Macaca fascicularis: one gene and its partners. The protein of the gene in region 3 purifies or fractionates together with the protein of the main gene of each other region. This does not show direct contact. Links are inferred from orthologs where the notes say so. Each region holds a gene or a part of one and is shown on either strand. Other genes may lie near its edges.

The links.
Region 1: the proteins of SF3A1 (region 3) and PRPF19 fractionate together in Homo sapiens (co-fractionation; 3 studies listed by BioGRID and IntAct, with this or other methods). This does not show direct contact. The link is inferred for Macaca fascicularis from reciprocal best matches to the Homo sapiens genes SF3A1 and PRPF19.
Region 2: the proteins of SF3A1 (region 3) and XAB2 fractionate together in Homo sapiens (co-fractionation; 3 studies listed by BioGRID and IntAct, with this or other methods). This does not show direct contact. The link is inferred for Macaca fascicularis from reciprocal best matches to the Homo sapiens genes SF3A1 and XAB2.
Region 4: the proteins of SF3A1 (region 3) and SART1 fractionate together in Homo sapiens (co-fractionation; 3 studies listed by BioGRID and IntAct, with this or other methods). This does not show direct contact. The link is inferred for Macaca fascicularis from reciprocal best matches to the Homo sapiens genes SF3A1 and SART1.
Region 5: the proteins of SF3A1 (region 3) and ZC3H18 purify together in Homo sapiens (affinity purification with mass spectrometry; 3 studies listed by BioGRID and IntAct, with this or other methods). This does not show direct contact. The link is inferred for Macaca fascicularis from reciprocal best matches to the Homo sapiens genes SF3A1 and ZC3H18.
Region 6: the proteins of SF3A1 (region 3) and SNRNP200 fractionate together in Homo sapiens (co-fractionation; 3 studies listed by BioGRID and IntAct, with this or other methods). This does not show direct contact. The link is inferred for Macaca fascicularis from reciprocal best matches to the Homo sapiens genes SF3A1 and SNRNP200.
Region 7: the proteins of SF3A1 (region 3) and SNRPA fractionate together in Homo sapiens (co-fractionation; 3 studies listed by BioGRID and IntAct, with this or other methods). This does not show direct contact. The link is inferred for Macaca fascicularis from reciprocal best matches to the Homo sapiens genes SF3A1 and SNRPA.

The regions. Positions count from the first base shown.
Region 1 is NC_088388.1:13,374,833-13,378,477, reverse strand, and holds part of PRPF19 (pre-mRNA-processing factor 19), read right to left. Parts: intron 2,880-3,645; coding exon 2,724-2,879; intron 2,469-2,723; coding exon 2,399-2,468; intron 2,167-2,398; coding exon 2,081-2,166; intron 1,813-2,080; coding exon 1,642-1,812; intron 1,491-1,641; coding exon 1,385-1,490; intron 1-1,384. UniProt on the Homo sapiens protein: Ubiquitin-protein ligase which is a core component of several complexes mainly involved pre-mRNA splicing and DNA repair. Required for pre-mRNA splicing as component of the spliceosome.
Region 2 is NC_088393.1:8,365,624-8,369,907, forward strand, and holds the start of XAB2 (pre-mRNA-splicing factor SYF1), read right to left. Parts: upstream 2,893-4,284; 5' UTR 2,869-2,892; coding exon 2,818-2,868; intron 1,618-2,817; coding exon 1,469-1,617; intron 1,185-1,468; coding exon 1,061-1,184; intron 774-1,060; coding exon 576-773; intron 1-575. Other genes in the region: protein PET100 homolog, mitochondrial, read left to right, coding at 3,174-3,200, 3,926-4,012, 4,176-4,199. UniProt on the Homo sapiens protein: Involved in pre-mRNA splicing as component of the spliceosome. Involved in transcription-coupled repair (TCR), transcription and pre-mRNA splicing.
Region 3 is NC_088384.1:21,310,730-21,314,827, forward strand, and holds the start of SF3A1 (splicing factor 3A subunit 1), read left to right. Parts: upstream 1-1,279; 5' UTR 1,280-1,371; coding exon 1,372-1,434; exon of another isoform or gene 1,435-1,516; intron 1,517-4,098. UniProt on the Homo sapiens protein: Component of the 17S U2 SnRNP complex of the spliceosome, a large ribonucleoprotein complex that removes introns from transcribed pre-mRNAs.
Region 4 is NC_088388.1:8,433,651-8,437,944, forward strand, and holds the start of SART1 (U4/U6.U5 tri-snRNP-associated protein 1), read right to left. Parts: upstream 2,860-4,294; 5' UTR 2,801-2,859; coding exon 2,488-2,800; intron 873-2,487; exon of another isoform or gene 783-872; coding exon of another isoform or gene 764-782; coding exon 706-763; intron 297-705; coding exon 241-296; intron 1-240. UniProt on the Homo sapiens protein: Plays a role in mRNA splicing as a component of the U4/U6-U5 tri-snRNP, one of the building blocks of the spliceosome. May also bind to DNA.
Region 5 is NC_088394.1:84,469,392-84,473,699, reverse strand, and holds the start of ZC3H18 (zinc finger CCCH domain-containing protein 18), read right to left. Parts: upstream 2,854-4,308; 5' UTR 2,690-2,853; intron 1-2,689.
Region 6 is NC_088387.1:1,383,571-1,387,215, forward strand, and holds part of SNRNP200 (U5 small nuclear ribonucleoprotein 200 kDa helicase), read right to left. Parts: intron 2,019-3,645; coding exon 1,826-2,018; intron 1,354-1,825; coding exon 1,298-1,353; intron 23-1,297; coding exon 1-22. UniProt on the Homo sapiens protein: Catalyzes the ATP-dependent unwinding of U4/U6 RNA duplices, an essential step in the assembly of a catalytically active spliceosome. Plays a role in pre-mRNA splicing as a core component of precatalytic, catalytic and postcatalytic spliceosomal complexes.
Region 7 is NC_088393.1:47,864,442-47,868,739, reverse strand, and holds the start of SNRPA (U1 small nuclear ribonucleoprotein A), read right to left. Parts: upstream 2,872-4,298; 5' UTR 2,761-2,871; intron 2,351-2,760; 5' UTR 2,329-2,350; coding exon 2,256-2,328; intron 1-2,255. Other genes in the region: ACTMAP (actin maturation protease), read left to right, coding at 3,940-4,262. UniProt on the Homo sapiens protein: Component of the spliceosomal U1 snRNP, which is essential for recognition of the pre-mRNA 5' splice-site and the subsequent assembly of the spliceosome. U1 snRNP is the first snRNP to interact with pre-mRNA.

The DNA of each region.
Region 1 (3,645 bases), on a different chromosome or scaffold from region 3:
GGGAAGTAATTGAATCATGGGGGTGGTTACCCCCATGCTGTTCTCATGATAGTGAGTTCTCACGAGATCTGATGGTTTTATGAGGGGCTTTACCCCCTTTGTTCAGCATTTGTCTCCCCTGTCACCATGTGAAGAAAGATGTGTTTGCTTTCCCTTCTGCTATGACTGTAAGTTTCCTGAGGCCTCCCCAGTCACTGGGAGTCAATTAAACCTCTTTCCCTTATAAATTACCCAGGCAGTTCTTCACAGCAGTGTGAGAACGGACTAACACAGTTGGTGATCCTGATCCTGTGTAGGTCTAGGGTAATGTGTGCTTGTGTCTTAGTTTTTAATAAGAAAAGTTTAAAAAGTAAAAAATAAAAATTAAAAAAATTAGAAAACAGAAAAAAGCTTATAGAATAAGAATGTAGAGAGACAATATTTTTGTACAGCTGTACAATGTGTTTTTGTTTTAAGCTAAATGTTATTACAAAATAATCCATTTTTTTAAGTTTATAAAGTAAAAGTCAGTTAAGGCTTATTACTGAAGAAAAAGCTATTTATGAATTTAGTAAAACCTAAATGCACTGTGTTTATGAAGTCCACAGCAGTGTACAGTAATGTCCTAGGCCTTCACATTCACTCACAACTCACTCACTGAACGCAACTTCCAGTCCTGCAAGCTCCATTCATGGCAAGCAATATACCAGTGTACCATTTTTAAAAAATCTCTTCTACCTTATTTTTACTGAACCTTTTCTATGTTTAGATTGGTTTAGATACACATATACTCACCACTGTGTTATAACTGTACTCACTACATGTAATATGCTGTACCGGTTTGCAGCCCAGGAGCAGTAATAGACTACACTAAGGTTATAGCAACAGCCTTGGTGTGTAGCAGGCTACACCATTCAGATACGTGTGAGTTCACCCTACAATGGTCACACATGATGAAATCACCTAATAAGACATTTCTCAGAACATATCCCCATTATTAAAGGATATATAGACTGTATAAGCTTCAATCATCTGACCTTTCTGCAGGTCTAATATAATGTGGGCCTCCCATGCATATGCACGTCATTAAAATGGCTTTCCTCCTGTCACTCTGCCTAATGTTCATTGATTTCAGATTCAGTTATCAAACCTTCAGAGGGAGGAGTTTTCTCTCCCTTCAGTAACCTGCCCAATGCCACACGGCATGAAGTGGCAGAGCGACTACTAGCATCCACTGCCACGCAGTCTGACTCAGTCTGCTTCCTTAGCCATAAAGCTCTGCCTCAGGTGGTAACCGAAAGCTGCTTAGGTAAATTCATGCAAGTCCTAGAAATTCCTAACCCAGTGAGGCTTCCCTCCGGGCCTGGGCACCTAGAGACCCCAGGAGCCCAGGACCAGCCTCTACCTGTAAAGTGAAGAATCTCCGTCCATTGTTTGCAGATGTAGATCTGGACATCCGTGCCCCCAAGGGCTAGGTAGGTACCACTCTGGTCAAAGATCAGTGACTTTACCTGCCAGAAACAGAAAGAGAGAAGGTCACACAAGGGGAACAGAAACTATGGGGCAATTGCGGATAAGCAGAAGCAATTAGATTAATTCAATAAATAATCGACAAACAAGGAGACACAATGGAAAGCTGGGTGGGGCGGGGGAAGGGCATACCTCGAAGTTGTTATCCAGCTGCAATGTCTTAAAGTTCTTAAGCTTGCGCAGATCCCATAGCTTGACAGAGGAGTCATCAGCCGCTGTAGCCAGGTAGTAACCATTCTCAGAGAAGGCGATGCTAGTGATGGGGCCCGAGTGGCCAGGGAAGTTGGCCACATTAGTACGTTCCTACAGTGGTGGTGGGTAGTAAAACACGTCACCCACAGATCATGAGAGGAAGAAAATGGAGCTCACCAAACCCCTACCTGAGATGTCCCTCACTGTCCTTCCAGGAAGGCCAGCCAGCGGGACCCCGCAGACCACACCATCATATCACACAGGCATAGCCAGCGATGGCCCCTTCAGTGCCAGGTGCCACAAGCACCTCATCAGCACCACGTTGTCACAAACACCCGCTCTGGCCCTGGGCCTCAGATGGAAGCCCACCGTGTCCTACCTTCAAGTCCCAGATCTTGATCTGAGAGTCCATGGTTCCTGTGCCAAAGATGAGTCCATCAGGGTGGAACTGTGCACAGGTGAGAGCTGTGGAGGAGGAAGACGGACCTGTGGTCAGAGCCCACCAGGGAGAGACTAAGAGCAGCAAAGTTAGGTTCCTTGTTCTTCACGGTCCTCAGTGCACCCAGCACAAAGCCTGCACTAGGCAGGTGCTGATGGTAAATGTATCTTTAGAACAAATAAGCAAACGACTAAATAAAATGTAAAAGTAAATAATAAATAGCAAACAAAAAGGCTGAGCGCCTACGAGGCAACTTACAGCAGCCAGAGGTCTCATCTGTCACCTTGGTGAGCACACGCCCTGTCTGGATGTCAGAGAAAGCCCAGTACTGGGGGGAAAAAAAAAGAGAGAGAGAGAGAGAATGGAGTCAGTGAGAAAGTGGGTCCCAGGCTTTGGTGGCCTTTCAGGTAGACAGAGCCCCTGGTCTGGTAAACCCTGGCAAACCTAGCACCTCCCAGCAGAGAGGAAACATTCTCCTTTGAGGTTCTGGGGAAGCAGCTGGGGTGGGAAGATGTTCCCGCCACCCAGGATGTTCAAGCTTGGGGACCAGCAAGCCTCTCCAGGGCACTGGCTGGGACCGCACCTGATCATCGGAGGAGCTCAGGAGATAGTCACCAGTGGCGTGCAGGCTGAGGCCTGTCACAGCACTCTCATGGGCCCGAACCACCTGTACACAAGAGGCATTGGGGACCGACCAAATCCTGATAGTGGCATCGGGGGAAGCAGAAAACACCAGGTCCTACAAGGAAAACAAAGACAGAGTATCAGAGTCAGAGAAGAGACACAGATCAAAACAATGTTATAAAAGGAGGCAGGGGATGCCCAAAACTACCAACAATTGCTTCACCTTTCAGCCCTGCCCTCCCTGGAACCACCTACCCACCCAAAGGTGCCCACAACAGCCAATGGTAAACGCTATTCAAGTCGTAACTCATACATCATCAGGGCTTGTGGAGGCGTCCGCGCCATCTAGTGGTAAAAAGGCTAACTGCAACAGAGAGCAATTTTCCCATTTCCAGGACCAAAGGAAGAATGTAGCTAGTATAATTGAGGGACTGAATTTTTTATTCTATTTCATTGAAATTTAAGTAGCCACATGTAGCTAATTGCTACTGTACTGTATGGCACAGGTCTGGGCAGTACGGGGACTCGAAGGGGCTGCATGGCTGTATTTCAGTGCATCCCACATTTATGGATTTCCAGGGTAAGTTAGTTTTCCAAAAGATTTGGGGCAGGGAGAGAATTTCGTATCACTCACTCACCAATTTTTTGTTTAGTTAGGATATTAAAAGCCACAAGGCAAAAATAACTACCATCTTTATCAATACAATTTCATGAGACCTAACTATTAATACCCCATAAGCAAGAAAACAGTGCCCTCGATTTGAGTAATTTAGTCATGAAAAATTCACCATGTCATTCTTACATTTCTCATTTCCCTAAGGTCCAAGGGAAAGCTCGACTGGGAAGCGCTAAACCAACCACTGTCCTGCAGCCCCAAACCC
Region 2 (4,284 bases), on a different chromosome or scaffold from region 3:
GCTCCACTGGTCCAGCCTCAGTCCTGACTGGTCTAGCCTTGGCCCTTTTGGGTCAGCCTTGATCCCATGGGTCCAGCCTTGACTATAGTGTCCAGCCTGGGTCCCATGGGTCCAGCCTCAGTCCTGACTGGTCCAGCTTAGAATCCAAATGTCACAGAACAGATACTGTAAGTTTGAGCAAACCATGCCCCACTCCCGCCCAGCTGATGCTTCCACTCTCCACCCTGCCTGCTTCTCCCCACCTCCTATTCCTGGCCCTCATCATGGCTGTGGTTTTACTCTAGTTCATGCCATCAGCTCACATACATCCGTCTTCCTAGTTAGACTAAAAGCTCCATGCAGGTAGGGAGTGTCTTAGCCACACTGTCCTCAGCACCCATCTCTATGCCTAATGTGAAACTGGCGTGAGCAAACTATTTGGAAAATAAAGACATGAATCACGGACAAGACATATGCATCTCCTGGTGCCTCTTCCCACATCCAGTCTGCTGGGTGACATCCTATACCGAGCTAGTGTCACAGTGAGGCAGTTTCTGGAAACTAACCTGGGGAACCAGCGTACCTGCTGGGCTCACCTTGAGGAAGCGCCGATAGCCTCGCACAGCTGTCTCGGGCAGTGGGTGTGAGCGCAGGAAGCGCAGATACAGGGGCCAAATTCGAGAGTGCTGCGTGATGGGCAGTGCCCGGAGGGCACGGTCGAAGGTGCGGCGGGTGTGTGTGACGCGCCCCTGGTCCATGAGGAACTGGCAGTAATCTAGCCACAGACGGGGCATCTGGGGGTGTGGGGAGAGGCGGCTGGGGCTAAGCCACGGACTCCATGGCCTACCCACAGACACTTGATGTCCTGTGGCTGAGTCACACCTGGGGCCTCCACATAAATGCAGCAGGACCCAGAAACCCCCAGCTCCAGGACTGAGTCCAGCCCAACTTCCCATGCACAGAAGCAACAGGATTCCAGGCCCCCATCCCTAACATGCTGAGCCCAGCCCCTGTCGCTACCCCACCCACCACCATGGACTGAGCCCCCCCTCCCGATTTATCCCCTCGCCTAGCCCCAAACCTTGTGCATGAACACAAAGGCCCTCTCATGGCAGTTGTTGACATCTTCGTAGGCGGGGTCGGTCACACAGCGATGCTTCACCTGTGCCCGACGTGCCTTCAGGTATCGGTACCAGAGTTTGTAGCTGGGGAACAGGAGGGGACAGATGCTGATCGGTCAGCTTTATGGACCCCCCCCCCAGAACCATCTGCCCTGCCCCTGTTGGCAAATGTGGGTGTGGGGGGGGTGACATGTCTCAGCAATGACAGGGACAGACTGGGACATCAGAGGAGGTGTGCTGACCCATCAAGGGATGTACAGGTCAGTGATGGGACACAAAGCAATCACCTGGGACCTACTTGGCAGTTTTGTTATAACTGGACCGGGGGGGCAGGGGCTGGTGGGCAGGGCAGCTGGAGCCATTCCCACCTGCAAGGTAGCAGCTTGAGTGCCCGCTCATATAGCTGATTGAGCCTGGGCTTCGGGGCGCCCTGTTTGAACTCGATGTAGCGAAGCCAGCATTTGACAGAGAACTGGTTCCGCATGATTTCCTCCTCATAGGGGAGGTCCTCTTCCTCCTGCCAGGGCCAGGGAATGGGGAGAAGAGAGGTCTACCCTCAGAGCCTGCGTGCGGCACCACCCCACTACTGGGGCTCAGGTCCAAACTCTGGACTTTTACCCAGATCCCACCACCCACCAAGGAAGTCAGGTCACCAGATGCCCAGGCACCAAACCAGGCACCAAACCAGATGCCCAGACACCAAGACACTGGCCCAGACCTTTACCCCTCAGAATTCAACTACCCAAAATTGAACCCAAATCATCAGACTTCTCAGTTATTAGGGCTCTGGGCCAGGCATGAGTCCACATCACCACTCGCTTTCTGCCCCAAATGGTCAGACTCCTTAGCTACCAAGGCCCTGGCCCAGATGCCAGGCCTCTGTCCTGGACACCAGACCCCACTTCTTCAAAACATGCCTCTTCCCAGACACCAGGCCTTTGGCCCCTCAGGCTCCCACTGTCACCAACTGACCCATCTCCACTCCAGGCCCAGACGACCAGATCTTCACCCCAGCCACCAGGGCTCTCAGGTCCAGATTTCAAGCCACTGGCCCCACCCCCAGGATCCCACTAGCCAGCATCTAGCTCAACTCTGCCCCAGAAGTTAAAAGCTAGGACTTTATCTCATAAGAGCAGTTATACACCAGAAGCCAAGCCTTTAACTCTGCACACCAAGAATCTGGTGAAGATGTCACGCCTCTACTCCAGACAATAAGCATTTCATTGGCCATTGCCTGACAAGCTCCACAACACCAGGGTTCTTCTAGCCTGGCCACCACCCCCAGAAACTGTCATGCCGCAGTCCAGACCTAGAGACCGCTATCTAGAAAACCAAGCCTTCATTCCAGAAACCGGAGCCCTGGCCTCGTAATCACGCCTTTACTTCAGACACCGGTCTTCACTTCTCAACGTTCAATTATGCGGTCTCCTTCCTCTCCCATTCCCTGCAAGCCCCCATTTCCGCCCCTGGCTCGGGAGGCTAGACGCTTTCCTTCGACAGTAGTTTTCTACTCATACCCTAAGACACAACACCGTATTTTTTACTCCTGGCCAGTTAGGTGTGGACATCACAATCCGGTCTCTGGCCCGTTAGGGTCCCCAATCCTTGGCCTGGCAATTTTGGCCTAAATCCCCTTGGCGACCCGGCCCCGATCCCCTGCGGCGTCCAGGTCCCAATGCCCCAACGCAGGCCACCCCTGGCTCCTTTGTGGACTCACGAAGACAAGGTCCGGCCGCTCGGGCCGCGAGAGTCGCGCCATCACCACCATTTTCCTGGATGCCCAGGTACAGGCGAGAGTCGCGCGCTTATGACATCTACCACTGACGGCCCGCCCCTCCGGGCCAGACCCGTTTTCTATTGGTTAAATCCTTTTTGACGGACAGGCTCACGTTATTGACTTCGTTTCGAAGACGCCAGCGACCGGAAGCAACATAGAGACGCCCGAATTACGTCATCAGGATACACATTGGCCAATCAGCTTCAGCAATGGAGCGTGCAAAACACCAATGAGCTTCTGTCTTGCTGGAGGGTCGGCTTTGGGCGGAAGTTGCTTTGTTGACCGGGAGAAACGAGATGGGGGTGAAGCTGGAGATATTTCGGGTCAGTGGACACAGGAGTGGATTGGGAGGCTGAGCAGGGGATCTTCCTGGATCTGAAGATGAGGCTGGAAATGGGGGTCTTAAAAGAAAGAGGGTGCTCCAAGGAGAAAGCTCTTAAGATTTGAGAGGGACCTTTCTGGTTGGAAATCCAGGAGAGGGGACGCTGGGTTGTGGGGTGGGGGGGTTCTCAGATTTGGGCTTCTGGGTTTGGGGGCTGTGAGAGGGCTGGTCCGAGGAAAGACCTCAGAGAGGGGTTGGCTGAGAAGGGGGCTCTAAAGAAGGAAGACTTAAGATCCTGGGGGAGCTCTCGGGCTTGTGGTGGGTGGGTGTCTATGATAGGGAGACTCCCAGACTTCGAGAAGTGAAGTTGAAGAGTGACGCCTCCTGGGTTTGGGGGTGCTCCCGGGATCTTAAGTGGGGATGAGTAATGAGGTCTCGAGGAGATGCTTTTGATTGTAGCTCGGGCCTCTGTATGTCTGTCTGTCTTTGAGAGAAAGACTCCAGCTCAGGGGGGACTTTCAGGAATGAAGCCTCCTGGATTATAGAAGTTAGGTTTTAGGATGCGAGGTTTCTGTACCCTTGGTGGGAGTTCTGGGGTTCTTGGGTCGGCCCTAACGAGGCGCTTCTGGACTCTGCAGTAGGATGGGTCCCCCAGGCTCTGAGCAGCCTCTGCACATTGCTTGGGGCGAGGGGGGCGGTCACCTCACCCACCCTCTGCCATTCCAGATGATACTCTACCTCACTTTCCCTGTGGCTATGTTCTGGGTTTCCAATCAGGCCGAGTGGTTTGAGGGCTACGTCATACAGCGCAAGGTGGGCATAAGAGGAGTGTTCGAGGGTTCACTCCAGGGGTGGGAGAGGGTGCGGGGCACCAATCTGCTGGGGGCCAATGTCTGCCTCCCATGAGCTGACCCTACCCTGGTGTGGGGCTCTGGAGGCTCTTGGCTTGTGTCCCAGTTGTGACTTTTCCTTACAGAGGGAGCTGTGGACACCTGAGAAGGTAAGTGATCTCATCTTCTTCCTGCCAGAGGGATGGAGGAGGCTGGATGCTTGTATCTGGGATGGGTTTCAGGTGAAAATTTTAG
Region 3 (4,098 bases):
TGAAAGCCAGGCAAGGTTCCCAGCCAGCTCCGGGCTTTCCGGAGTTGAGGAGGGGAGGAAGGGGGTGGGGATCTCAGGAGAGGGAGAGAAAGCCGGCAGGAGTCGAGGTAGGCCTCTGGGGAGCGAGCTGCATAGCTTGCAGGGGCGCACCTGTGAGAGTGAGGGGTGAAGCCTAAAGCAGCAGCCCTGAGTGATGGCTCATGCGTGTAACCCCAGCACTTTGGGAGGCCAGGTGGGAGGATTGCTTGACTCCATGAGTTTGAGACCAGCCTGGGCAACATAGGGAGACGTCCTCCCACGTCCCTACAAAAAAAATTTTAAAACTGGCCGGGCGCGGTGGCTCACGCCTGTAACCCTAACACTTTGGGAAGCCGAGGCGGGAGGATCATTTGAGGTCAGGAGTTCGAGACCAGCCTGGCCAACGTGGTGAAACCCCGTCTCTACAAAACACACACACACACACACACACACACACACGGCCGGATGTGGTGGGCGCCTGCAGTCCCAGCCACTCGGGAGGCTGAGGCAGGACAATTGCTTGAACTCAGCGATTGAACTCGGGAGGCGGAGGTTTCAGTGAGCCAAGATCGCGCCACTGCACTCCAGCCTGGGTGACAGAACAAGACCTTGTCTCAGAAAAAAACAAAAAAGAAAGAAAAAGCAGCAGCCTTGATTTGAGAGGGAGGCCCCAGTGAGGCTTGAGATCAGGACTACGGAAGGCAGGGGGTGGAAGCAAGAAAAGGCAGGCCTATGGGAAAAGGGAATTAAGGGCGTAGGATTTGGAAGAGCGGCTTGGAGGATGTGGGCCTGAAATGAAAGGGGGGACTAAGGGAATAGGGAAGCGGGGCTCTGAGGCGGCGAGCCTTAGGGCACAGGGGCTCTCCGAAATGAGAGGCCAATGGGAGGGAGCTGGGCTCTTGGAAGGCGGTGTCGAAGGGAGCGAGGCACTGGCACTGAGCGAGGCACTGTAGAGTAAAGGAGGCGCGAGCTGAGTGCGGCGGGGGTCCGGCGGGTGACGTAGAACATCTCACCTGTCTTCGGCGTCGCGGTTTCAGCCTCTGTATCCGGTCAGCTCCGGGAACTGCCCCCGGCGCGCCTGCGGCTCCCGGGAACCCCGGAAACCCCTAGCCCGGAGCTCCAGCCGCTGCCTTGACAACGGCGTCGGATGCCGCGGTGCCCGCGGGGAGGAGCAGGAAGCGCGCCACGGCGAGGGGGCGGTCCCGGAAGTGCGTCAGTCTTACCTTCGCGGCCACAACTCGCTCGGCTGCCGCCATTTTGCGAGCTCGTCGTACTGTTCGAGCGGGGAGGCTGTCTTGAGGCGGCACTCCTCACCAACACCGAGGCGGACTGGCAGCCCTCAGCGTCGCAGTCATGCCGGCCGGACCCGTGCAGGCGGTGCCCCCGCCGCCGCCCGTGGCCACTGAGCCCAAACAGGTACCTCTCCCCCGCCCCTCAACCTGCAGCCGGAGCGTGGGCCTGGGCGCTACTTACTTGAGCGGGAATAAGCGGCCGCTATGAAGGGCTTGGAGGGACTGCAAATCCCAGGAGGCTGCGCGCTTCCCGCGCTATGGTGGTGGTTCTGGTAACGAAACCAGCTGCTCTGAACGGGGTTCTCAAAGTGGTCCGCGGAGCAGCCGCGTCGGCACGAGCCGAGAGCTTAGAAATGTGGAGTCTCCGCCCTAGACCTTTTAAATAGGGATCTTACATTTGAACAAAATCCTAAGGTGATTGATTTGTAAGTGTGAGAGGCGCTGATCCAGCCCATCCTCTGATCTTCTGTGGCAGTTGGGGCCACCGGCCCCAGCCTTTCCCCAGTAATGCCCACTTTCCCAGCCTGGGCGGTACATCTTTGGATGTTAATTCTCAGCATCTATTTCGGTGTCTGCCCCAAGCCAGACACCGTGCCACGCTCCCACGTTACCGGAATGAATAGGGCACGGGGAGCTCACAGGCTAACGAGAAGACAGATACACGAGAATGCTCACCAAATGTTTATTGTTCCGATGGCCGTCAATGATACAGTGTCAGCCCGCCCTTAATAAACCTCTCGAATCTCAAATGTGTATAAACCATTGTAGTACGGTGTGATATGCCCTGTGATAGAAGTTTCAGGTACAAATCTAGTCAACATTGCTTGCTGGAGTAGAAGGGATATTAAGGTAGGGAAGCCCACGGGAGTGAGAGGTAAATTTCTTTTAGAAGAAGGAATGGGAGTTTGCCAGGCAGGTGACTAGGGAAGGGAAATAACATCCTTTATTCATCCAGCAAATATTTATTGAGCATATATGCTGATCATTGCTTTGGGTTTGGAATGAGGGGGACATGACTGAAGAAGCCATGCCTTTTCCACAGATATTTAAGTACCTGTGTGTCCCTGGCATTTTCCCAGGCGTTGGGAGAAAATAAGGTAATGGCCAGATAATATGCACAAAGACACTGAGTTAAGAATCAAACGGTGTCTCTGATCAAGAGTAAATGAACAAGTGTTGAAGCATAGAGCGTGGTGACAGGAGATGCAATTCTTTCTTAGGATTTGAACGTTTCCTTGTAGACAATGGGAAGAAAAGGGAGAGTTTTAAGCCAAATAGTGACATTTGTGTTTCAGAAATTCAGGTAGGCAGGCATGTGGAGAGTCACTACGAGGAGGGGAGGCCAGTCACGCTATTCCAAGGGGCTGAAGGCCTGGCCTAGATTAGGGCAGAGGGGTGGGCAGGCTTTCCAGCCAGAGTGGTGTGTTAGAATTCTGGTTCTGCCAGTTGGACATTAAGCTCTCCATCTCTCAGTTTTGTCATCTGTAATGTGGAGATATTAAGAGTACTTGGCCGGCCCAGTGGCTCACGCGTGTAATTCCAGCACTTTAGGAGGCCGAGGCAGACAGATCACTTGAGGTCAGGAGTTTGAGACCAGCCTGGCCAACATGGCAAAACCCTGTCTCTACTAAAAGTAAAAAAAAATTAGCCAGGTGTGGTGCATGTTTGTAATCCCCACTATTCGGGAGAGAATTACTTGAACCTGGGAAGCGGAGGTTGCAGTGAGCCAAGATCATGCCACTGCACTCCAGCCTGGGCGACAGCAAGACAGAGTCTCAAAAAAAAAAAAAAAAGAGTACTTAATCTTATAGGCTTCTTATAAGAGTTATAAGAATTAGTATATTTAAAGTGCTTGGGAAAAATACCTGGAATCTACTCAGTGCTTGATAAAAGTTTTTTTTAAGAGACCGGGTGTCGTTCTGTCACCCAGGCTGGAATGCAAGTGTTGCAGTCGTAGCTTACTGAAGCCTTGAATTCCTGGGCTCAAGCAATCCTCCTACCTCAGCCTCCTGACTCACCGGGATTATAGGTGCAAGCCATTGTGCCCAACTTGATCAATGTTATTATTATTGAGTGTGGAAGCTGAGGAAGAGAGAGGAGCCCCAACTTTGTGGCATGGACGACTGAGTAGCTATTCCTGAGGAAAGAGGTTAGAGATGAAAGTGCCCAGTAGTTAGCTGGACCCGAAGCTGTTCAGTACGCAAGAGTGTTCTGGGACATCAGTTTGGGCCAGATTGTATAGAGGCAGGAGGGGAAGTGGAGGACACTGTCAAAACTGAGAAGAGAACCAAGAACAGAATTGGGCGGTGGGAGCGGGGATCTCCAACTTCACAGAGCAGGAGGTGAAACAGACCAGGAAGGAAACTTGGATGGAATGGTGAGCAAGATGGGAAGACAGGTAAGAATGGGGTCTAGGAGTTGAGAGTTTTCATGAAGGAGTGGTCACCATTCACACCCAGATAATGGCTGTGGGCAGTCGTTTTTGACTTTGTCAAGAGCACTTAAAATGAATGGGGACCAAATGGGAGGCAGGGAAGTGGGATCAGCAAACTGAAGAGAACTCAGGATGTTAAGCTGCCAGAGGATGGGGCGGGAGAAGGCAGCGGCAGAAAGGAACATGGAGGCAGAGGAGAAACTTCATTTTTCTAAGATAAGAGATTTGACCCTTTGTTTACTAAGGGGAAGAAGCTGCTGGAGAAAAAATATTGGTACTTATGGCATAGTTAATGCTGAACATTCCAGTGGAATTTCACAAAACACCTGAGCATTGAATGTTGGTTGACAGTGG
Region 4 (4,294 bases), on a different chromosome or scaffold from region 3:
CAGTCCATCTAACAACACCTCACAGCCAGAGTGAGTATGCGAAGGCCACGGCTCTAACTCAGAAAACAAGCAGAGCCCCAGGTCCACATTAGAACAGCAAGAAGGGACCTCGTGCCTTCCGGCAAATATGCATGTGTAAGACCACTAAACCGTGCTGAACCTGCCCTCTAATCCCACCTTCTTCAAAGACCCCTTCAGATGGCCCTCTCCCCCAAACCCCATCCTCAGCCCCATACTCACCCTTCTTGATGGCATTGACCTCCAAGGGTTTCAGCCCCAACTTTGCCCGGAGTTTACTGAGAACAAGAGATACAAGTGTTAGGGGCTATCAAAGGATACAAGTGTTAGGGGCTATCAAAGACACAGGGCGCCATGTGCATTTCCAAACAGACAGGAGAAGAAACAGGGTGGGAGTGAGCGGTCCCAAACACACGGTCTGCCCCAGGAAGCCTAGGACACTGGGAAGGGCCCTGGCCTCCAAAGCAGGAAACATGGGCGCCAGCCTGGTCTGCATCTAACCGGTGAATGCCACTTTACTCTTAGGTATTAGTTTCCTCTTCTATAACTCTACTGTTGGCTAAAATGATCTATACAACCTTTCCAACTCCAATTAGCACACTTTCATGTGAGAAAGCCTCCCCAGGGCTGGCCCTAGAGCCACCTATCTTAGAAAAACAAAGTGGAAACAAGGGAGACAGTACTCACTTGGTCTCCTCAATGCTGAGTGAGGAGGCATCGCCTGAGCTAGTTTTGGAGCTGGCAGCTGGAAGAAGAAGAAGCATGGCTCAGGAGCTGAACATAGGGCCAACAAGCCAGCATCATTGCCTCCAACTGCAGGATCAAAGATGAGGGCCCCTCACCAGCACCTGGGCCTGATGAAACACCAGAAAACAGCAGCTTCTTCCACCCAAGCTCCCCAGCAGCTCCTCTGCCCGAGTCCAGTCTCAGAGCCCTGCCTCTTCTGCGCACCTTCCTATCCTGACCCAAGAGATCCAAACTGCTACAGTCACCATTCTGCCCTCTCCTTTTTTCTTTCATTTTTTTTTTTTAAGAGACAAGGTCTCTTAAAGAGATGGAGCAAGACTTTGTCTCAAAAAAAAAAAAAACACCTCTTCCTTTCCTGCATTCCCATCCTGTATCTTAAAGGCTCCACTCTCCACCTGGGCCCTGGATCCCAATCTCTCCAGGCTCCCCAAAGTCACCAGTCTCCTTCATTTCTAATCTAACGGGTTCTTTTCAGTTCTGGTTTTCCTTGATCTCCTGTGGTATATGGGACTGCTGATCACTCCCTCCTTCTAACAATACTCTATTTCCAAAGTTCCCATGACACAAAGGTTTTCCTGCCTCTTTGGTTACTCTATCTCCTTTTTTTGGTAACATCTTTCTCTGCCTACTACTAACATAAGGGCATTTCTCAGGTTCTATTCCTGACCCCGGCTTCTCATGTCGCATTCTTTCGCGGGCTTCACTGGCCACCCAGATACTGACTCCCAATGGCTTTATCCAGTCCAAACTCTGGATTTCCCTATGCACATAAACCTTGACAACCCCAAAAGTGAATTATCTTCCCCCACCCTGCTCCAAATCTCCTTCTCTTCCCTACTCCTCAATTTCAGTAGAAATGACACCCACTACCTATCTGGCTGCTCAAGCCAAAATTCAAGGAGTCATCCTCAATTCCTTCTCCTTCCCACCCTCATACAAGTACTGAGTTCTGTTCATTCCTCCTCTAAAACACCTCTCCAACCTGTCCACTTCTCTCCACTCCACTGCTGCTGCCTTGGTGCAGGCCACCATCAGCCCTCACCTGGTCTGTAGCCCTCCTGATTTCCTGGTCTCCAATCCTGACTACCTTTGACTAAGTTCTCAATCCAGTAATGTTTACAAAATACGGATCTGAGCAACTCACTCCTCAACTCACAGCCAAGGCTCCCTACTACCTTGTCAAGACAATCTACATTTCTTAACAGAGCCTACAGTACAGGGTCCTTTGCGTTCACATCCCTGCCTATCTTACTCCTTCATTTCTCTACCAGGAGCCCTACACGATTCGTCCAATACGATTCGTCAAATACCAGGTTTTTCTTGCCTCTGCATATGCTGACACTATTTCATTCATTCATTCAACACATTTATTGAGAATCTGTGACTGTACCAGACAACTGAGAAAAACCGAAGCTCTCTATCCTCAAGGAGCCAGGTGGAGACAGTCTACCTCTAATCCCAAACAATCGTAGAAAAGCTTTTTTGAGACAGAGTCTCGCTTTGTTGCCCAGGCTGCAGTGCACTGGCGGGATCGCAGCACACTGCAGCCTCTAACTCCTGGGCTCATGGGATCCCGTAGAAAGACTATTTAATAAGAGTTGATATAGACAGTCTGGGGGTTTCCCGATCCGGAGAGCTTTGCTGACACTGTGCGCACACCCAGACCCGCACGTTCTGGGACCCCTGCCCGACCCGCCCCCTGCGCAGGCCCCGCCTCCTCACCGGCCTCATAGCCGTCATCGCGTTTCTCCCGCTTCACACGCCGCTCCGAGGGCTCTGCCTGGCTGCGCTCCCGCCCGTGCGTGCTGCTCCGGGCCTCAGCTTCGGCCCCGCGCCGCCCGCTCCCGCGCTCGCCCCCACGTTCCCGGCTCCGCTTCCGTCGTTCGCCACCGCTACCGCCACTGCCGCCACTCCGGTGCTTGTGTTTTTTGTGTTCCCGGTGCCGCGGCGGCTGCTCGGTGGCGCCCCCGGTGCCGGCCGCCGCCGTCGTCCCGGTCGCCTCCTTCTCTCCGCGGTGCTTCTTGGACGACCCCATAGTGGCACGTCCACTCCAAGCCCGGCTACCGCCGAGCCCAGACAACGCAAAATGGGAATACTTCCGGGTCGCTCGGCAGCCGCTGTCGTGTTGCCGGAAACTAAGAGCGGCTGCTTCCGTCGCTCGCCCTGGAGCCGGCCCCAGAGGCTCATGGGAAGACCGGGATCACTGCTCCACTGCACATTCGCGCCGTCGCGGGTCGGGTGGGTTCTTTGAGCCAGTGGTCCCGTTGTGCATTCGCTACTCAAGGGAAGCGGAATTAACCCGGAGATGGGATCCCAGAACTGGAAGGACTTAGAGGGCATTAAGCCAGTGTCTTCGTGGCTGGAAGTTCCTCCCCGGCATCCCTGCGCTTGCACTTCACCGACAACGGGGTGTTCACTACCTCACGGCCTTTCCGTAGACACCTCCCTCCTACAATGGGCGCTCGCTTAGTGGACTCCTAGGGTCGTGGCTTCAACGGGTGTTGTTTTCCCGTTATCTCAAATTCCATAGCCCAGTTTCCGACCCGCTATAACTAGTATCGTTAGGGAACGCTTCCTTCCCACGTTCCCTGGTTTTTTTGTTTTGTTTTTTTCCCTTGAGATAGGATCTCACTTTGTTGCTCAGGCTGGAGTGCAGTGGCGCGATCACGGCGCACTGCAGCCTCGACCTCCCGCGCTCAAGTGATCCTACCCCCTCAGCCTTCCCACTAGCTGGGACTACTACGAATGAACGCTACCACGCCCCTTTAATTTTTGTATTTTTTTGTAGATGGGCGGGGGGTGTCTCGAACTCCTGAAGCCAGGCTATCCACCCGCCTTGGCCTCCCGAAATGCTGAGATTACAGGCATGCGCCCCTGCGCCCAGCCCTGGATTGGATTTTTTAAACCCGCGCCCCGTGAACTGTTAAGACTGAAGGAGCGCCACATGAGCGTCAGTGTATCCTTGGAACCCCTGAAATTGAATGCAAAATGTGGCACATCTGTGTGTATGAGTTTTTTTCTTGAGGAGAGGAGCCCTAAAAAAACTACTGGGACTTAAAACCCCAGTGCAGGCCGGGCGCGGTGGCTCACGCCTGTAATCCTAGCACTTTGGGAGGCCGAGGCAGGCGAATCACAAGGTCAAGAGATCGAGACCATCCTGGCCAATATGGTAAAACCCCGTCTCTACTAAAAATACAAAAATTAGCTGGGTGTGGTGGCGCGCGCCTGTAGTCCCAGGTACTCAGGAGGCTGAGGCAGGAGAATGGCGTGAACCCGGGAGGCGGAGCTTGCAGTGAGCCGAGATCACGCCACTGCACTCCAGCCTGGGCAGCAGAGCGAGACTCCGTCTCAAAAAAAAAAAAAAAAAAAAAAAAGCCCATTGCGCACAATCCCAATCGGTCCTGAAACCCCTCCCCTCACCCAAGGGTTGCTCAGTCTGTGGCTCCCTGCCTTGCACAACTCAACATGTGTTAGGATGTGAGCGTGTGTTGGGATATGAGTATGTGTTAGGATATAAGCGTATGTTGGG
Region 5 (4,308 bases), on a different chromosome or scaffold from region 3:
TTACATCTCCCCAGCTGCCGAAGTGGAGCACCTGGTACCCAGCAGGATGTCCCAAGCTGAACCCAGACCTGAAATGTGACAAATTCTGATTCTCATGTTTTATAGTCTAATGTCAACCTTGCAAACAAAGTGATCTCTTAAATAAACTGACTTTTATGCAAAACTAAACGTCCCCTCAAACTAGTTTTAAAAAATCACACAATTGGCTGGGTGTGGTGGCTCATGCCTGTAATCCCAGCACTTTGGGAGGCTGAGGCGGGTGGATCACGAGGTCGGAAGTTCGAGACCAACTTGGCCAAAACACAGTGAAACCCCGTCTCTACTAAAAATACAAAAATTAGCTGGGCATGGTGGCACGTGCCTGTAGTCCCAGCTACTCAGGAGGCTGAGGCAAGAGAATCACTCAAACCCAGGAGGAGGAGGTTACAGTGAGCCCAGATCGTGCCACTGCACTCCAGCCTGGGCAACAGAGTGACACTCCATTTCAAAAAATAATAATAAGGTGCCAGGAAAAGAAACGTAGCCTCGTAAGTGTAGACAATGAAATGAAAAGCGTAGACACGGGTGTCAGCAGACAAGTCTCAACTGACACCTATGTTTGCAATTCGTGCTCAGTTTGGTCTTCGTACACTATCACTCTATAACTGAAGATTCTCAGCATGATTTAGAACTAAATCCTTAGCCCTCCGATTCATCAGATGGGTAAGCTTGCCTAAGGAATGAAGTAACAAGTACCCGTCATCCCAACTCTGTTGCTTTCTGCATTTGGCAGATGATACTTGATAAATATTTGTTGATACATGACAAAAATCTCATTACTTGAGGAACTACCTGTTGCCTACCAGAAAGGAATTGAAAATAAGTGCCCAGGAGGAGGAGGTTGCAGTGAGCCAAGATCGTGCCACTGCACTCCAGCCTGGGCAACAGAGTGAGACTCCGTCTCAAAAAATAATAGTAATAATAAAGACTAGGTGCTACCTCCCTTCCAAGCAGTCCCTCTGGGAGGATGCACAGACTCCAATGGCACTGCTGAAATGCAGAGCATTTGGGAACCTTCTCATTTCGAATGACCTTCCAAGCCTGAAGAAGTCTTCTGGTGTTCTCCGTGGTGGCAAATCTTCCTCCTCTCAAGCTAGTCTCTGATAAGTGCTGCAAGTCAGAGTCTCACCTGATAAGGTAAGTTACCAACCACATAAGACAACTTTTGGTCAAACCTGGAGGGTGACTACTGAATAAAACTGATTTTCCCATATGACTACATTTTTACTACCAAAACAGGAGTTCTAAAGAGGTTTTGGCAAAGAAGCACCAATGAAATACAAGCACAACATTTTGGGACAGTTATTTTCAACAGAGCAGTCCCTATTTGAATGCCTGAGTTCTGGAACATCTGGTTAAAATTCTGACTCATAACCTCACGGGCTTACAATATCTAAATGAAAGTTATCAAGGTTGGTGACAGACCCCACTCGCAAACTGACCAAGCTTGACCACTAAACTGCTTGATAAGGAGGTACTCACCTTGAGATGCTCTGTAGCCGTGACAAAATACAAATCTCTTGAAACACGATCTAGGCCACAGGTTAACTTACCTGTTTGCTTTCTGGAGTGACTCCACAAAGCTTTCTTACAACATTTCAGCATGTCCCACCTAAAATGGGAGAGGAGTTTCCGGCTTTGGGACACATTTGACCGGTTCCAGGGCTGGCTGGGTTCCATACTGCCCTTAGATAGTAAAATTATCAGGCAAAGACTCTCCTCCCAAGGCTGGGAAGCGGGATTCAGCCGAGGTCAAGGCTCACCAGGAGAATCTCAACAACTGAACGGGAAAGGACCACTCTACAGACAACAAGCTGGAAGTGAGTCTCAGGAGAAATGACGAGCGCCTTGCTACACCCCAAACGGTACTGCAGATGCCAAACACTCTCTTCTTCCATTTTCCCAAACGGGTCTGAAGAATGACCTACCCTTGCAAATGAGTTAGCGGAACAAAGCTCATTTAAAACGGCCACTCTAACCGGCAAACTCAGCTGTCACAAAGTAGTCAGGAAAACTTAATTTTTGGCAGGAGCAAGGCTGTAAGTTTCGGTTCTTCCAGCATTATATCTGCAGTTAGTTTATATAAAGGACCCAGCACCTCTGATCTCCTGATCCAAGGGGCAAGGAAGTTACATACTCCTAAGAGACCGGCGCGCGTCTTGGGGCAATCACCACGTCCAACCTGTGCACACTCTGAAGCTGCGGCGCAAGTTCCAGGAGGCTCATGAAGAGCTCAAAGTTCTCCGAAGAGCCCAGAAACAGCAAGGGCTGACCTATTCCGGAGGTTAACCTGGGCGCCTCTCACCGCCCCTTAGCGGGCGGCACACATGTGCCACGCGAGTGGCCCGGAAGAGAAATGACAGCTTCAGGAAAATAAACTCCGCCGCGGGGCGCGGAGGCAGCGCGCGAGGAGCTCAGGCGCTGAGGGCGCCCCAGGACCGCGGGGCCGCTTACGGACGGAACGCGGGGTGGTGCCTGTCTCAAGGTCCCCCTCCCTTGGCCCAAGGGCCAGTCTTCGGTCGGCGGGTCCGCACGGCCGGAGGCGCGCCAGGGTCCCGGGCCTCACTCCCGCCGCCGCCGCCGCCTCGGCGGCCTCCTCCTCCCGCCGCCGCCGGCCCGGCCTCCCGCCGCCCGCCCGGCCCCCGCTAACCTCAGCGCTAGGACGGAGAGGGGGCCACGGCGCTGCTGGAGTCGGAGCGGCGTGGAGAAGACGTCCCTTGGCCCTTCCGTTCCTCACAGGCTCTGGCTCCAGGCTCGACGCGGGCGGAACAAACGGGCTCCACTACCCGCGGGGGCCGGCCATTGTGCGACGTCATCAGGCCGCGACGGTCGTCCTACGGCCGGCGGGCTTCCCTCCCTCGCCCCGCCCCCTCCAGTTTCCTTCCGGCCTCCGCGCGGCTCCGCCCCCGCGGCGCGCGCCCGGACGCGCGCGCGCCCGCTGAGCCCCCGCTACAGCGCAGGCGCCACAGGGAGTTCGCTCCTCGGGAGCGGGAGTCCGGCTCAGCGCCTGCGCACAGGGCTCCCCGTGGCCGCCGGGTCACGTGACGGGGCTCTGGCTCGGCTGGTGGGTTCTTCATCCCTGGGGGATGATCGAGTTCAACGCGGAAAACTTAAAGCGGTTTTCGTCGGGCTGATATCTCCTGCTTTATTGAATGTTGATATTAAATGCTTAGCTCCGGAATTATTTTTTCAGGTATCGACTTTAGATTAAAAGCCTAACAATTCTTACCTCTCCCATGGGCTGCCCAGCTCCCCGCGCGGTTCAACGCGAGCAGCGCCAGCAAGGGGACCTGTCCCGTGTCCTGCTCATCGCGGCGTCCCCCGGGCGCGTCCACAGCCTGGGACGTCCAGGGGCTGCAGCGGTGCGAGCTGCTCTAGAGACGGAGGGCCCGGCCCAAGACCAGGGGCCCACGGTTTCATCCTGCACTGTCCCCTGCCAACGATGTGGCTGGTCCTGGGGGTCACAGGACTTCGCCCACCCCATCTTCCTCCATATCCCCAGGGTGGAAACAAGGGAGCGAGATGTGGAGGAACTGATGAACAGACAAAATGCGGCCTGTCCATGCAGTGGAATGTGAGTCAGCCATCCAGAAGAGTGAAGTTCAGACCCGTGCCACAACGTGGGTGAACCTTGGAAACATATTAAGTAAAGCAAGCCAATCACAAAAGGACAAATACTGTGCGACTCCATGCTATGGACCGAGTTCTGTCCCCCTAACATTTGTATGTGAAGCCGTAATCCCCAATGTGACTGTGTTTGCAGAAAGGGCCTTTAGAGAATTAAGGTTAAATGAGATTATAAGGGTGGGATCCTGATCTGATAGGATTCCTGTCCTTGGAAGACGTACCACAGACGTGGCCCTGTGGCTCACGCCTGTAATCCTAGCACTTTGGGAGGCCAAGCTTGGAGTACCACCTCCTCCAGGAGTTTGAGGCCAGCCTGGGCAACAAAGCAAGACCCCTGCCTCTACAAAAAAATTAACAGGACATGGTGGTACATGCCTGTGATCCCAGCAACTTGTTATGGTTATGTAAGAGGAGTGTGAATTCCACCCTGGTGATTTTGGTCGTGTCAGGAGCAGCCCTGTAACGCGAGTTGGCGCCTTCTGTAGGCTTTATGTGTCGGTAAGACAGTCCCACCCAGCAACGGCCAGTTGACAAACATAAACCTGCATGGACATTACCATCCATGCAAAGGAGCAGCCGGCACCGGCTGTGACCGACACGTGCCTGGCTGCGATCTGAGTTTCATGAACAGTAAACTCTGTT
Region 6 (3,645 bases), on a different chromosome or scaffold from region 3:
CGTACACATCTTCATCACCTTCCTGTGGAAATGGCCCCAACTCAACCATTATCTGGAGCTGATCCTGCATCACCACAGAACCTCTCCCTCAAGTCACCCTAAATTAGCTCAATGGTTAGAGAAATGGCTTTGGGGTGAAACCGAGAGCCTACTGGAACCAAGGTCAGCCTTATTCCAGTGGACATGTAATAGAAAGACTGCTTGGCACAGACTTATTAGATGCACCTACTTTCTGTTTCTTACCTTAGGCTGCCACAATGGCAATCAACTGGACCATAGCCTTTTTCTAATACACAAACAATCAACACTCAAAAACAGTGATCAGCTAACAGAAGAGAAGAGCTATGCAGAGGCACGTCTGGGAAAGCAGATGGTGACTCGGGAATGAAGAGATCACACTAAGCTTGCTCACCACTCCATTTACTCATACACTGCACATTAGGCATACTTGGCACAGTGTCATAGTCAAAGCAGGTGCTTCAGTAACGAGCACTGCTAAATGAATGAACTGCTACAAGCAAAGCAGTTTGTTGCTACTTAAAATCATCAAATCCTATTAACTATACTGTAGGAAGTGGCTTAGCAAACACCTATTGAAATCGCCTCATTTTATAGAAAGAGAAACTGAGGCAAAATGACCTGCCAAGATACAGGACTCAAATTCAGAAGTCTTGGCTCCTAGTCCTCTAACTCTCCCCATGCAACCCCTTCTTCCAGCCCTGGTATATATACCAGGGATCCATTTTCCCTTTCAGGAGCCAAATCTACTCACTGAGAACTCTAAGGCACTCTGTAATTTTTTCAAAGTACCCCACTTATTCCTATTTATATTCAAGGAATTCTATTAGACGGTAAACATTAACTCCAGTGACTTAACCATGTACGAACTACAGCCATGCTCTAAGGCAAATGTGCAATCTTTTGAAACAGGCAGTGGGGACACAGTAATGAAAAAAGGGAAAATATTGTAATACGTTTAAAATGCAGTAAAACATAGCAGATACATTCTCAAAGTATTCACTGTACTTTATCTTTTGTCTTTCTTTTTGCTGATCCACTTGGTATATTTTAAATAATTACGTTGCTTTACATTTGTTAGTTTAAATTTGCTGTAGAAAAGTTAAAAGATAACTGCATTTTTTTTAAGCAAAAGAACATATAATGCCTAAGTCTGAAACCCACACACCACCATAAAATGTATCTGGTTTAAACTAGGGAGCTTCTTTACACTACAAGGGGTCCCTTTACCTTCATCAACTTCAAAAACAAGAATGGACTGGGCCTGTTTATCACTCACCTCCTCATCAGACTCAAACTGCACATTCACACCATATGTCTCATCAATGTTGTCATCTGAAACGACGAAGGATTAGAAAAAGAGGGCAGTGAATGGCTAGTAAAACAAGCCACTCTGGAGCCAATGTCCTCCCCAACTACCTCTCCTCAGGAAAGATCTAAGTGCTAAGGACACACACAGGCACTTAGATGATCAACACGAGAGAGCCACCTATGCTGCCACTGCCAAGACCTTCTCCACCTGCCAGCCCTGGAGTCAGCCCAGCTCTGCTTGCTCAACCACTTGAGCCCCCAAGGCTCTGCCCACATTTTCTCCCATATTCTACACAACAAAAGGGTCTCAGAGTAAGGAACAGCTGCTGAAATCTAGGGATTCTGGTGTCTATCAATTATAACTCTTCAAAAAACACACAACAAATTATGGGAACTCACTGACACTAAGGTTTTTAAATGAATGATGCTAGAAGATGCATACTTAGGGGTCAACAACAACCAGTTAACATGATCAGGACATAAAGAGCTCACTTACCCATATTTTGGATTTCCTTGTCTCCACCATAGTCGGTGATCTTTTTTCCCAAGTTCACTAGCACGTGGTATCTGGTATCATCTGTTTGACCCAGCAGCAGGTCAATCTCCTTTCGCCTTTCCTTGTCCCGCAGCTTTTCATTCTTTAGAACAGCTAGAACCTCATCAGCTGCCCCACAAAGGATATCACGTGGCTGGTAGCAAGAAACAACCAATCAATATTGAGAATGATGACAGACAGAACATCACCAACCAGGTTTATGTGGCGGCAGGATGCAAACAGCCACACTTTCTCAAAACCTGTTGCATACTAGGCTCTGATCTTTCTCATTAATGCTGATTTAAAATGCCACAACTAAAGGAAGACTCATCTGTTTTTAAAAAGATTAGCTAGGTGGCCTCAAGCAGCAGGACACAGCTTCCACAACAGCTTGCCACATCTCCAGGTGGCAGTCACTTGGCAGATCTCCTCTAGCCTGCCACACTTTTGTAATTCTTTGTCCTCACTTCCTCTAGCACCCACATCAACAGAGCTCCTCAGACTCATAATGGTCCCCAATCTAATCACACATGTGTAACGGTTAGGAACACAGATTCTAGATATAAACTATCTGGATCGTATCTTGGCTCTGCCAAATACTACTTCTGTGACTTGGGAAAATTACTTAATTATTCTTGCCTCACATCTCTCTTCTATAAAATGGAAAATGAGTATTAACAGCACCTATTCACGGAGTTACATGAGGGGGTGAGAGAAAGACACGTGCTGTTCCACACAAATCGAGTGCTCAGTAAATACAAGCCCCTTCTGCAGACCAGTACATCCCACAAGGGGATCCAGAGGCAAGGTTCATCTGGAGCCTCCCAGTTGTGACCCTCTCCTTTTCTGACACACGGTCTCATCCTCTGGCCGCCTCGCTCTGAGAATATAGAAATAAAGCAAACTTGGCCGGCTGTGGTGGCTTGCAACTGTAACCCCGGCACTTTGGGAGGCCGAGGCGGGTGGATCACGAGGTCAGGAGATCGAGACCATCCTGGCTAACACGGTGAAACCCCATCTCTACCAAAAATACAAAAAATTAGCCGGATGTGGTGGCAGGCGCCTGTAGTCCCAGCTACTCGGGAGGCTGAGGCAGGAGAATGGCACGAACCTGGGAGGCAGAGCCTGCAGTGAGCCGAGATCGCGCCACTGCACTCCAGCCTGGGCAGCAGAGCGAGACTCCAACTCAAAAAAAAAAAAAGAAATAAAGCAAATTTGTTTTTTCTATACTTTTACAACAATTAACACAGAAGGCTTCTGTGACAATTCCTCCCCACCAGCAACCAATCCAAAAATTGTGCAGTGGACACAAGCTGGTGTCCTCAAATTCAATTCCGTTCCAACACTAACTACCTGGAGATAAGAGTCAGATCCCACAGGCTGAGGACTCAGTCCCACAAGCCTGCCTTCCACTCCATGATGCCAATCACAAGCACAGGTTGTGTGACCTGTGCTTCTCACTGTACAGCTACAAATCGAGCTTTCCACAATCCCCTTTTGGGATTCAACTACTGTGCTAGAACAGATCGGGACACACTTACTTTTACTGTAAGGCATATTACAAAAGATGCCTACCAACAGACAACAGACGGAAGAGGTGCACAGGGCAGGCATGTGGCAAAGGGTATCATGTGGGAAAGGGTATGGCGCTGCCAGGCCCTCTCAGGCGCACCACCCTCCGGAAACCTCCATGTGTGCAGCTATCCGCAAACTCTCTAAACCTAGTCCTTTTGGGGTTTTTATGGGGGCTTCATTACATAGGCAGATTGATTAAATGACCA
Region 7 (4,298 bases), on a different chromosome or scaffold from region 3:
TGAAACCCCGTCTCTACTAAAAATACAAAAAATTAGCCGGGCGCAGTGGCGGGCGCCTGTAGTCCCAGCTACTCAGGAGGCTGAGGCAGGAGAATGGCGTGAACCCGGGAGGTGGAGCTTGCAGTGAGCTGAGATCTGGCCACTGTACTCCAGCCTGGGCGGCAGAGCGAGACTCTGTCTCAAAAAAAAAAAAAAAAAAAAAAAAAGAACCAGCGTTCTATGTCACCAGTGTGTCCCCAGCACTGCCCAATAATGGTTAGGCACCACACTCTAAAAGCATATGCAAAATTTACATTCCTGGTTTTGTTTTATTTTATTTTATCTTTTTTTGAGAGTCTCTATCACCCAGGCTGGAGTACAGTGGTGCAGTCTCAGCTCACTGCAACCTCTGCTTCCCAGGGTTCAAGTGATTCTCCTGCCTCAGCCTCCCAAGTAGCTGGGACTATAGATGTGCGCCGCCACACCCAGCTGATTTTTAGTAGACACGGGGTTTCACCATCTTGGCCAGGCTGGTCTTGAACTCCTGACCTCACACGATCTCCCACCTCAGCCTCCCAAAGTATTTTTAGTAGACACGGGGTTTCACCATCTTGGCCAGGCTGGTCTTGAACTCCTGACCTCACACGATCTCCCACCTCAGCCTCCCAAAGTGCTGGGATGACAGGCGTGAGCCAGTGCCCCGGCTGCTGGTTTTGCTTTCTTCAAGAGCAACTTCACTGGTGACCTCAAACTGAATCCCAGTAAGCTCCTTCGGTTCTCCTGACAATTTTCTTGAAGTGATAAGAGCTAACATTTATCCAGCCCTTACTAGCTGCCAGTTAACATAAAAAAGAAATACTGCAAGGTTTAGCTAATTTAATCTCACCCAACATCCATGCAAAAAAGGTATTATGATTTTGCTCAGTTTTTACATGTAGAAAATGAGATTCAATAAAGGTGATAATTTACTTGAGAACGTGAGAGGGTCTTTCCCATTTCAATAACTGAGTTTTTTTTTTTTCCTTTTTTCAGATAGGTTCTTGCTCTGCCCAGGCTGTAGTGCAGTGGTGCAATCATAGCCCACTGCAGCCTCAACCTCTCTAGCTCAAGCGATCCTCCCACCTCAGCCTCCTGAGTAGCTGGGACCACAGACATACCCCACCCACGCCCAGCCTTTTTTTTTTTTTTTTTTTTTTGTAGAGACAAGGTCTCGCTTTGTTGCCCAGGCTGATCTTGAACTCCTGTGTTTAAGTGATCCTCCTGCCTCTGCCACCCAAAGTGTTAGGCTTAACCACCACGCCCGGCCAAAAATTGGGTTCTTAAGCAGAATTCTATACCGGTGGCTTCAACCACTTTACTTGCTATGTGACCCTGGGCAAGTCACATCACCCTGTCTCAGTTTCTTTTCCTTTCTTTTTTGAGACGGAGTTTCGCTCTTGTTGCCCAGGCTGTACTGCAATGGTGTGATCTCGGCTCACTGCAACCTCCGTCTCCCGGGTTCAAGCGATTCTCCTGCCTTAGCCTCCAGAGTAGCTGGGATTACAGGCACGTGCCACCATCAGGCCTGGCTAATTTTGTATTTTCAGTAGAGACAGGGTTTCTCCATGTTGGTCAGACTGGTCTCGAACTCCCGACCTCAGGTGATCCGCCCACCTCGGCCTCCTAAAGTGCTGGCATTACAGGGGTGAGCCACCGCGCCCTGCCTCAGTTTGTTAGTTGAGGAATGGGAATAACAACAGCCTTCTTCCTACAAGCTTGTTGTAAGAACTAAATGTAATCAACATTTATATAAAAGCACATAGACTAACCCATGATACAGAGCGTTAGCCACCATTACGGTACATTTTCATTGTGAGCTGATCACTGAAAAAGCCGGTGACCCAAGAAAGCCCCAGTCCTTGCCCTCACGGAGCTCAAAGGCCACTGGGAGGAGAGAGAGCCCCACGACAGCTCAGAGGAATCAGGGCGTGATGGGAGATGGCCTCAGCGTATGGGAAGTCAGCGGCAGCCACGTGAAGGGACAAGGGAAGGCTTCCTGGAGGAAGGGTCCTGTGACCTCAAACCTTGTAAGATGAGCAACAGTGACCAGGTTAAAGGGCAGAGTGTAAGATGAACTAATGGAGTGTTGAAGACAGGAAGTAGTTTGTGTAAAGGCCAAGGGGTTAACTCGAAGTTTGGCTGGAGGAACACTTAAGAAAGAGAAGCGGATGCAGGGGGTGGAAGAGGGACCAGCCCGTGCGGGACAGTCTGGAGTCCGGACTATCCCGAGAACTCACCATCCTTCTTGATCTTCTCATTGAGGTTGTTGATATAAATAGTGTGGTTAGGGCGGGTCTCGGGAACTGCCATGGAGTGAAGTGTTGAGGTAAGGCTTAAAGGAGGAAAAACGTGACTTTAGCCCTGGGTTTCGCCAAATCCTTTGTCCCACCGTTGGCTGCTCAAGGATCTTCCTCCCAAAAGGAAGTCAGATAAGGCGGGAGTAGGGGGAAGGACCGAGGGAAAGCGCGGGCAACAAAGCGTGCGTAGGACCCGCTTCTCCAGCACGCGTGCAGAGGGAACTCTCGAGAGATTTACTACGACTTCCAGGATGCTCTACGCGACCCCGTGGGCGGAGCGCCCTAAATGGCGACTCCCATTGGCCCATGCATCCGAAGGGCCGTCCTGGAGAAAAACCCGGATGTGGGAGCCAGTATAGAAAAAAGGGGACAGGTCTTGGGCAGCCTGGCCTCGAGCAGCAAGTTTCCTCAGACGGGCCCAGGAAGGCCCGGACGCCAAGCGTACCGCTCGCCCGCCGCCGATGGTCGTTTGCACCCCAGGTTACCTTCCGACAGGACCGCAGTTCTCTCAAGCGGCGCCTGCTACTTTCCTGAGACCAAACCACGAAGCTTTCTCTCCTGGCACCGCCCCTGCCTTTCTGCCAGGCAATCTCCGCGCGGAAACGCAGTAGCTTGACCAATCAGAGCAAGTCTCGTTTCTGGGCTCAGCTCTTGCCAATCAAAATGATATTTGAGTTCCCGCCTAGGTAGAAAAACCCCGCCCGACTCCCTGAAAGCCCACCTCCTTCCGTGACTCCCGGGTCTACGGACCAATCAGTAAAGGTCACTAGTATTTTGCCAATCGGGACGCGTCTGGCGCTGTGATGTCTTCCGGAGGCAATCCTTTTTGAAGTCCCGCCTCTTCCCCCCAGCGCTGCGTTTTCTGTCACGTGATCGCCAAATGGGCGGGCACTGTTGCGTGTGATACCCCGTGATATGGGAAAAGCGGTGTGCGGGGGCCGCCATTTTCTGGGAGTGGGAGGTGTACCTTACTTCCTGACTCCCTTCCCTTTTCCACCGGTTATCACGGCGCCCACCGGCTTCTGATCTCGGAGTCTTCTCCAACCCACAGACGTTTTTGTTGCTCTGGTTCCGGGACCTTCTCCACAACTAGGCCATTTTTCCTGCCAGGTGTCCATTTTGACCTCTTGACCTCTGACTCAAAGGTCAGCCCAAAGGTTCCAAACTCGGGCCTGGGATGTGAGGGGGTAGTGAACCTAAGTTCTCCGAATCTTTAGCCCTGGGCTCCTAAGTCGCACCCTTAAGGCACCTCACTTTAGGTCTGAGCCTTCATATCCCAAACTTACTCATGTGTTTCCACATCTAGCCCCAAAGAATGAGTTAACTCCTACTGACTGTCCACCTAAGACTCCCAAGGTAACCCAACCGGTACCACAGATCCGGTTCCGGATTTAAGGACCCCACCCTGTTAACTGTCAGGTGCCTTATGACTTGAGTCACCCTCAATTCCTGCTCCCATGGTTTCAAATATTAGCTGTGGTCCTTTCACACCCACTGCTCAGCCCCCAGATTCTGGAACTCAGCTCGTAAATTTTTAAAATTTCCATCCCTGAGACTGTTCTCCGTTGGAGGATCCTTCCCTCCCCACCTTCTGAACCTCTCAGCCCCTCCTGTAGACCCCAAAATGACTTCTCCATGCTCTCCTCCCGTAAAGCCACCAATCCCTCCTCCAAGAACCCCTGTACCCCAAGCCAGCAGCATTCCATCTCCTTCTCTACCCCCAAGTCCCCTGGACTTTTTAGCTATACCATCCCCTCCCTGGAGTCAGCAGACCGCTGTTCCCCCACCGCCCCCACTGCCTCCTCCACCCGCTGCCACGGGGCCTGCTCCCCCTCATGTCTTCGGCCTGGAGAAGAGCCAGCTCCTGAAGGAGGCCTTGGAGAAGGCTGGCCCAGTTCCCAAGGGCAGAGAAGACGTGAAGAGGCTCCTGAAACTGCACAAGGACCGGTAGGGTCTCCATGCCCCACCCACCACCCAGGCTCT